2 linked regions of the Caenorhabditis elegans genome follow. The protein of the gene in region 1 interacts with the protein of each later gene in a pairwise test. Each region holds a gene or a part of one and is shown in the gene's direction. Other genes may lie near its edges. The genes, in order: lim-9 and scpl-1.

The links.
Region 2: the proteins of lim-9 (region 1) and scpl-1 interact in a two-hybrid assay, tested with the Caenorhabditis elegans proteins (one study listed by BioGRID).

The regions. Positions count from the first base shown.
Region 1 is NC_003279.8:9,217,685-9,222,666, reverse strand, and holds the start of lim-9 (Protein espinas), read left to right. Parts: upstream 1-1,938; coding exon 1,939-2,009; intron 2,010-3,618; coding exon 3,619-3,742; intron 3,743-3,955; coding exon 3,956-4,171; intron 4,172-4,982. Other genes in the region: aspm-1 (Calponin-homology (CH) domain-containing protein), read left to right, coding at 6-79, 224-660.
Region 2 is NC_003279.8:10,091,427-10,096,331, reverse strand, and holds the start of scpl-1 (CTD small phosphatase-like protein 1), read left to right. Parts: upstream 1-1,851; 5' UTR 1,852-1,908; coding exon 1,909-2,467; intron 2,468-2,554; coding exon 2,555-2,653; intron 2,654-3,553; exon of another isoform or gene 3,554-3,670; intron 3,671-4,799; coding exon 4,800-4,905. UniProt on the Caenorhabditis elegans protein: Phosphatase which may play a role in the egg laying muscles.

The DNA.
Region 1 (4,982 bases):
TTCAGGCTAAAGAAATGCGCTCTTCATGGACTCACAAATGATAACCTTCACGTCGTTCATGTTGCTGCAACTGTCATCGGTATGTCGCAAATGAAAATTACGAAGAAGCTGCTTTTTGATCTGAAAGTCATAGAAACCAAAAGTTTATGAATATGCCGCCATGGATGATTTTCTTCGTCAATTGCAAAACCATACAACACATAGAAATGTTCATATTTTGCAGACCGAGTCACCGATCTTGTTCCATCACTTTTGGAAAAGCTTGTCGTCGAACTGAATGGCATCAAGTCGATCACTGATGTTTTGATTGTGGCGGATCGAGGATTCTCTTATACGAGCATTCTTCATCCATTATTGAATGTTCTCGAAAAATTATTCACGAAGATTCCCGAAGAAGTCACCAATTCGCATATTCTCCCTCACTTGAAGATTTTGTCGCCTCGCTTGATGCTACTGATGCTGAAGCACTCGGAAGTCAAGGAATTGTTTATTCCTATCATTAACACCTTGACTTCAATTGCTAGAAGATTCCCAGACAAAAAGCAATCGAGTTTTTCTTCATCAAGCTACTCAATCAAGCAGTCGCTCAAAAAAGTCAAGGATCAGGAGTGTCGGAATAAATTGGTCAGATTGGAAAGCATATGCGAAGATATGCTCTAAATTAGTCTCTGTTAAATATTAAATTCATCCCACCGTTTTGTGTATCATATCGTGAAAAAATACACACGGTTTAATTATTTTTATGTGAATATTTACCAATAAGATCAGTCAACCTGATGCTTATTTGGATTTTTTGGTATTTCATATTTGTTTCTTAAAGTCTGTTGTGAAGTAAAAACTTGATTTTAAATACTACCGTTTTTTTTAGAGTATGATGAATTTAGCTACTTTTAGAAATTCAAGAAGTCTGCTATTTTTCTCTGTTCCCTCTTTAAAATTTTTGAGTTTTGCACTTGTTGCGTAGCAGATGGCTCATCCGATTTGCAAATAGTTACTCGTCTTACTCTCCGTTCGCATTACACAGTAACCCTCCGACCATCTTTTTCTGCTCTTTTTTGTACTTTGTCACGTCATTCGGCTCCTGCTCCGCCTACTCAAAATTTTTATGGTTTTTTTCGAAAGTTTGAGAGAAGTAGTACTCGTTTTTCCGAATTTTTAAAATATTGTTCATTAGTTTTTATTAATTCCAGCTATATGCAGTGCCGGCCAAAAGTTGGTGATTTTTCAACAACAAAAAAAAATCAAAAGTAGCTACTTAAGTAGTAATTTTAAAAAACTTACCAGACAGGATTTTCATTATAACTTTGTCTAGATTTTGCTTTCCTCTGGAAAAAAAGTTGAAGCGGCTGACATCTACAGGAATAGATTTGTATATGTTCTCTTGCAACACATGTTTTTGAATTCTAAAGGCGCGTATGGGTCTCGCCACGTGGGAAACGAGTTTCTGTAACTCATGTCGGTTTACGGGTCACTAAAAGTTGTATCATCATTTTCAAAAATAGAAATTACTGACAAGATTTATTTAGAAAAAATAATTGTGCAATAGCGGCCCGTACATTAATACGAGTTACAGTAACCCGTTGTTCGAATGGCGAGACCATTGCACGTCTACGTAATAACAATTTGGCAGCAATTTAGACAATATTATCAATGTTTTGTCTTTACACAGTTTTTTAATTATTAGTTTTTGAGGTATTGTTTGGTTGAAAAATCACGAGAATAAGTCAAAGACGCATATAATTTGGCCGATATTGTGCTCGCATTTTCCCGATTTTCGTATTCAAGAAAATGGTCAGAAGATCATTTGGAATAGAAGTAGAAAATCTTCAAAATTTTTCTTTTTCTTTTATTTTATTCTATACAAATAGACACTTGAACTAATATAATAAGTACTTAACAGAAGTAGAACTCTTTTCAACTTGGCCCCCTCTCTGTAATATGTCTGACAATGTTGGTCCAAGAGAATTGTCAAATGCATTCAAATATCTTCTTGCCTATCAATTAGATTCGTAAGTTTTTTTTTCACAAAATGGAAAATTGATAGTTATGGATAGATCTCTGAAAAAAAACATCTTAAAATAGTAGATAATACTTTCCACCCAATTTTTTTGAATTCATAAACTTATAAAGGCATATTAGTAGCTTTTGTAAAATGTGTTCGAGAAGTTATTTATTCAATAAAAATGTGTAAAAAACGGTAAACCATTTAGATACCAAAAAAACCAGATCTTGCCATTTTTCTTCTAAAAGACACGACAAAAATTAGGTATTGTCAAGTGTGGGTTACTGTATCTGGATGTTTCTCTCTCTCGGGTATGACCTTTTGTCCAATCATGGAAAGTTCACCAAACTTATTCTGGAGTTATGCATAATTTATTTGTAATATTAAAACTTCAGGAGAGTCATGGTAATAAACTTAAAGTAGAAGAGTTCAAAATTCTCTTCAAAAAAAGTGTTTAGAAACCAGTAAGAACCCTTTCAAACTCTACATTTCTTCCTTCTAAACCCCGCTGTAATCCTTCTGTGATCAATTTTTCAAAATGACTACAAGTGACATAACTGCCAGTTTTAAGGCACACTTTTCTGCAATCTTCCGGAAGAAGATGTTCGAGACTTATTTGTTCTTTCAAATCGACTGGCCAATATCATTTATACAATTTAATGTGGAACGTCGCCTATAAGAAAATTGTTTGAAACCAATTAATTCGTTGCTAAAATGTAAAAAGCTTTGAAAGATATTTTTATTTGCAGTCGAAAAGTGGAAATTTTTTTACCAATAAATTTCCGTCAAAATTTAGCGATTCACCAATACTTTGACAGAAATTTTTGAACGACCTAAAGTTTTTTGAAGCGTTTAATTATTTTTTAAAGTCATGTTGGAGTGTATTTGTAGCACATATCCCGGAGTACTTTTTGGGGTACACAATTTATATTTCTCGATATATAACTATGCAACACAAATAGAGTACCTAATCAATTGAAGATCAATTGATATATATGCCATATTCGGGAAGTGTGTGTGAATCTCTGAGTCTCTCAAATCCAAATGATATTTCTCATTTCATAATATATTTTCTCATTATCTTGTTGTCATTATCCACTATCTTCATAATCCAATCGTCTCTTCCTTCAAAAAGTGAAAATAAACATAAAATTGGCAATTTTCGATATGATCATGAAGTGACCACACCCTGGCTTTCCTTTAATAGTGACACACAATTTGAGAAATTAAATGTTTTTTGAACGAATTTCTCAAATTTCTGTTCTTGTTTTTGAACCCTCGTGATTTTCATTTTATTTATTGATTTTCAATTTCAAAACTAGTCGATTTTTTTATTGCATTGCAAAAATAATTTCTCCAATTAAAAACAAATTACCACTTGCAAATTAAATTATAATTCTGATAGAACATTTTTGGCTTTGAATTAAAAACTAGAAAATATTTTGACACTTTGAAAGTAATATTGCCTATTTCCTTTTTCAATTTCATACCTATTTTGAGAGAGCTTACGATAAGTTTTAGTCGAAAATTGAAAGTTAATTGCAAACAGCAGAAACATGTTTTAATGTTTAGCCATTCACTTTATTGGAAAATGTTTTAAATTATTTAATTTTCAGAATCGCTCAAGACGGAGTAATGCCATCTGCTCATGGAGCTCTTCACAAATTATTGTGCTCGTGTTATTCAAAAAACACCGAAGTGGTTGATATCTATGATATGCCGGAAAATAATAATGCGCAGGTTGGATATTTTCATTCAAAATCACAATACCTGAAACAATGGTTGTTCCATTAAAAGACGTATTGTGTCGGCCATTTCCCTCAAAATCTTGCACGACACATGCTATCCGACTAGACATCATATTGTAGACAACAATTTCAGCTTGTTTAAAAAAAAATTAAAAAAAGTAAAATTTGCTTCGAATTCTTTCTAACTTTTAAATTTTTTAAACAGGAAAAAGAAGATCATTACACAAAAAGAGCAATAGATATCGGAGAAACAAAAAAAAGATTGGAACTTCTTCCACCACCTCCAACATCTTCATCGCCCCGGCCAACATCTTCTAATTCAATTATTCAAAAAAGTGATGGAAAACGAAAAGATCAGAAGAATGAGAAACAAGCATCTCCGATCATCGTGGAAGTTTACGATGACACACCTCAATCAAAGGTACGTATTTATTTCAGTTATTCTCTATGTTATCAGTAATTGCATTTTCTTTTTTATTAAAAAAGAAATCTTTACGTTTTGGCTGGTCTAATAAGCTTCATACTGAATTCAAGCTTCTCCCAAAATTTCTATTCAACTAATTCAAAGTATTGTACTTCCCACTTTAAAAGTACATCTTTTTCTTGCAAACGTTCATTTCCTTATTGCAACATCATTTTCTTTTTCTTGTTCCTTTCTCTGAATCATACTGTCAATTAGTAGTTATCAGTGTCATATCACATGATATCTCAAAAAAGTGTGCCAATTGGAACCCTTTTTTTTTTTGACTTTTCGTTTAATTGATGATACGATTGATCTTTAGTTTGGTGGTTGAACAAATTTTATTTCTTCGATTTTAATTTAGCTAAAAGTAAAGTTTAGTTATCTTGAATGTATACGAAAACATAACGAATGTTAACATGCTAATTCCCAAACTATGTTTTGGAAAATTCAACTTTAAAAAAGCGTGAAAAAAAAAATTCCCACCTTATTCATTATTGACTTCAATAGTAAAAACGTCCGAAAATATTAAGAAAAAATTAAATACTGTGCTCGTATTTCATCAATTTTGGAATTCGAATTTATTTTCTCAGAAATGTGACTCATTGCACGCGACAGAAATACGGTTAAGACAGTAAAACATCTGAAAAGTACTTTTTTTGTTAAAAATATCCGGCTTTTTTGGTGCCATTTTAAGAGTTATATAGATAACGTTTTTTTTTAAACAATATTGGTTTTCACTGAAATTTTCAGAACTAATTAATTTTGTAGT
Region 2 (4,905 bases), 870 kb from region 1:
GATCCATGATATTTATTTTTGTCGCTTCCCTCCAATTTCCGTAGTCAAACATCATCAGCCGATAAATTGTTTTCTGTGCCTTCCCGCCGAACATACAGCAATTAGGGAAATTACATTGTCGAGCATGAAAGTTCTTTCATTTTTTCGCCCAATTTCTTATACATTCACTAGAGTTTCTTTCTTTTTTTGGAATAAAAAGTGTTTGTTGTTTTGCGGCGGCCACCAGACACGTTCAAAACAACAAATCTTGTGAGTTTTATTGCTTTTTGAATTTCTTTTAAGACGTTTCTGAGCAGATTTTGGATGTTTTTCGAAGGGAAATAGAATATGGAAAAATATTTAAATATCTAATTTTAAAGTACACACGAGGCACAATATTCTGAATTCTATTACCGTTAATCCGTTTCAAAAGGTTTCCTTGGTAACCGAGAGAAGCGATGTAATTCTTGTGAAAAACAATGGCATAGCTTTTTAGACCATAAGGTATTTTTGAATATTTTTCTGGAGACCCTTGACCTCTCTAAATATTTATTTTCCCATTTCCTGCTCCATCATGAATCGAGTCCATCAAAGGAAAAGCCATTTGAAGCGTGAAGAAAGTCGCCGTGAGAGCGACCTTGTTGAGTGACGCCTGCTCCTTTCTTTTGCTCCACGACATTTCCTTTCATCGTGGTCCTTATTTCTTTCTAAAAGCGTGTATATAAACTCTTATTATGATGATTGACGTCCACCTCATGCACCCGAATCTATTTTTATGTTCAGTAGCAGCTCTTTTGAGCTCTCTGGGCGTTGCTTTTCAAAAGCTCAACGTGATTGGCACATTGCCAACATGTGAGACCTGCCGCCGACTTCCGCGCCCTTCATGATCCGCCACTAATCGGTGAGCAAGTACTCGTTGAAGTGAGCAGCAAGTTTATATTACTTATGGTATATACACACACGTCGCGCCTTTACCCTCACGCGGCATACGGCATACGGCAATGCTTATTTGTTCTTTGTCAAGCACTTCTTTTGCACATTTTGGCAGCAGCGCGCACGGAAGGCGCCGCGTTCTTTGCAATAACCAGACTGTGCTCTGGGAGCAGCAGATGATTTAGGGGAAAGATACGAGAAAAGAGAAACAGAAAGAGAGTAGTTTGCGTGCTCATTTCAACAAGCACTTCACCTCTGCCCTCGGGATACCTCAGATAATTTGTGTTTCTGAAGAAGCTAGTTCTTCTTTTTCTTCTTCTTTGTTCTCTGCTCTTTTCACCTCTGAAACCCCTTGAATGTCAATGTTTCTAAAACCATTGAAATTAGATATGTTTGGGTTTTGCCCCGTTTATGCGTTGAAACGAACAAACATTCTATGTATCTTATGTGAGACAAGAAAACAGATTTAGTTCTCTCCAGAGACTCTCCCATCAAAACACACACCTGTCTGTTTTTTTTATTAGCCAACCACTTCCCCATAAATTCTTGCCATGGACTTTTCAACAATAACAAAATTGTTTCCTCATATTTTTATTATTTTTTCTTTCTCTCAATATGTCTAGAGTTTGGGCGGCAATTCTATTATTCGGAAATGAATAAAATTTTGAAAATTTGAAATTTGACAATAGTTATCGGAAAAAAGTTCCGATTACCAGAGATCAAAATCCTCATATTTTTAATAAGTTTTGATCATTAATTTTTTTGAATCATTTTTCTAAAAAATTCGAATTGTCGATTATCGAATTGATTTAAAAAAAACGATTTCCGCCCACTTCGTAATGTTTCAAATATTCTACTTCTTCAATTTTCTTATTAATCTCTATTTCTCTTCGAACATCAAACTTATCATATTCCAAAACCCCATTTCCTTATTTCAAGAAATATCTCGTCGATCCTCCATCATCCACCTTCTTCCCCAGTCATCATAATCATCGGATGACCTACGCTGAATCGACTCGATCCGCCGTCGTCTACTCGTCGATTGTGCCTCCACCACGTACTCCAGTTGGTCCGCCGATGTTGAAAGATGGCGTGCGGAAAGGATCCGCATCGCAACCACTTCAACCAAAAAACGGTGCCAACAGTTTGGACTATTGGAGTAAATCGGAAGATGAAAAGTCTGGAATAACGTGTTACTACAGTCGTCATAATATTCAATTTCCACCACCACAGAGGAAAATGAAACCTGTAAAACCAAATCCTGTGGGAAGGTCAACAATAAATGGATTCACACCATCGACATCATCACCACAAAATGGTCTTAGATATCCACCATTTCCACAGAATACACCAGAATCTGTGATGAGTCCTCCAGTTGGAATCTACCGTAATATTCCCGCAATGCCACGTGCAAAACTTACAAAAGATGAGAAAAATGGAGGGAAAATGAATCGAGATGGTGGAGGAGAAAACCCAAAAAATGTAGTTTGGGGTGGAACATCAAGAAAAGATGATGATACGGCTAGTACACCGTTAAATTCATTTTCAGCCAATGGTGAGATAACCGGGAATGTGAAAAGTTAATTTAAAAATAAACTGAATTGTTTTTTTTTTTGTAATTAATATTTTGTATCAGTTTCAGCATCAATCGAGAAAAAGCGATCAACAGCGAGAAGGAAACCAAGATGGGCACGCTGTTTTCAGACACTTTTCTGTTGTGTGACTCCACCCAGAGAGATTGGTATGTGATTTTTCATTTTAAAATTATCAAAATTCTTTTAAAAATTTGGGGTTATTTAAGTTATGTAGAATGCTCCAAGAGTTCACTAAAAAAAATTTAATTAAAAAAATGAATTTTCAATTTCTGAAGAGAAAATGGATGTAGTCTGAAATGATCCAATTTGACTACAAAAATTTATCTTTTTTCGGGAGTTTTCCTTCAATTTTGCAAATTTTTTTTCAAATTTCTGAATTATTTGTTAAATTGCCACCAAAAACGGTTACTGTAACTCAATAAATTTTTTTAAATAACATTATTTGTAAAAAAAATTTCCTGGAATTTCTGTATGCTTTTCACACTTTCCTATAACAAAATAGACTGAAAAAATTTTAAAAAATTGTTTTGTTTATTTTAAGCGACAAATTTTTGAAATTCCAGAAAAATTTAATATAAAGACATGTTAAAAATTTTTTTTTGAAAATTTCCACAAGAAAAAGCTAAAGAAAAAAAGGAAATTTGGTCTTGTTACAGTAACCAGTTTGTGCGAAAATTTGAAAGTTTTGCAAAAAAAAAGACAAAATTTTAAACACTTTATAGGCATATTCGATAATTTTAGACTATCTTCTATTATTTAACAATTGAAAAATGTTCTTAATCATAGAAAAGTTCAAAATTTCGAGTAATTAATAACGCCGCTTTTATGTTTTCTAGAAAACGAAATGAGTGTTTTCATCTTCATTTTTTCTTTATTTCTCTTTCTCTTCAGTGGTAGTGTTCCAGTTATTACACCAAATCTTCCATCTCTTTCATTTTTATCCATCAAAAACTTCAATCATCAGTCGGAAACCACCCCACGCTTCTGATTTCCCATTCTTGTGTGCATTTCAATATTTCAAAAAAAAAACTCATAATTTCTCCTTTACCCCGAAATTCGCCAATATTTTCCGATTTACGAACGCGGCTATCAAACTTGTCGATAGACAGCAAAGTGAGTTGAACTTTTGCGAAAAAGGAAAAAAAGGCGAGGGCAGCTGGTTTTGATTTATTTGCAAATAATCTCCCCTCAGGCAATGTGTCATGCATAAATACGCAGCTCACGGTCGGAGGGAGTACCGCAACTTTTTGAACTTTCAATGTTTGCATATGAGAAATGAAGGAAAAAAATCTCGTTTAACATTTTAAAAGTAGCATTAAAAATTAGTATTAGGGATTTTGAAATACCAAAAACGGCTTTAAATTATCCAAGATATTCAGAAATTCAGAAATACCAAAAGAACAAATTTAGAACTTTCAAAAATAACGCATATAACGATAGAAAAATGTATTGATTTGTTAATGATTATTTAAAATTGTTTGTTTGGAAAGTTTCTCAGCGATTTTCTTTCTTCCGATTACTAGGTTTTCTTTACAGAAGAATTCCTGAAAAATGTCACTCGTTTGCGCGGGAATTTAAATTGAATTCTGCCGTATTTTTCATTTTTGCAAAATAGGAACAATCATTTCAAAAACAATACTTTGGAACTCTTCCCAGACAGAATCTGTCCTTGTCAAATCATCGATGTCAAAATTGACAACTTTGAAACAAAGAATATTATTTTCCCAGACATTTTCTTCCTCGCTGCTCATCAGAAAATATCATCATTTTCTTTCTTATCTCGAATTTCAACGAAAAAAGATGATCAGAACCCCCGCACAGTTGGATTTTCGGATCCTTTCGAAACATCTGGTGCCACTCGATTCCTGGCACAACGCCTTTCACAAAGAACTATGATTTATGAACATGAACTTTTTTTTAAAGTTTTGTGGGTGTAGAGATAAATAAAATTTAATGATTTTCCGATGAGCATGCATGAGGCAACTGCTCAGTGATCAGATATCACAAAAAATCATCTTAAGGGTGGAATACCGAAATCTGGGAATTATTTTTAATTGACTCCAAATTGCCCCTGAATAACGAATGTGTGAAAAAATTCAAAAAAATTATCTGATGTTATATTTGATTTATATTTTTTTCACATAAATATTCGGAATCAGGGGCAAATTTTGAGTCAATTAAAAATATTTCTTAGATTTCAGTACTCCACCTTTAACAACAATTACCGTAACCAAATTTCGGCAATTGAATGAAATTCTAACAAAATTGGAGAAAATATTCATAAATTTTCAGAAAAGATACAATCAAGCCAACGAACGAACAGTACAAACAACAATCATCAGAATGGAAGACCATCTACACCAACAAATACAGGACCACCCATTCAGCTTATCACACA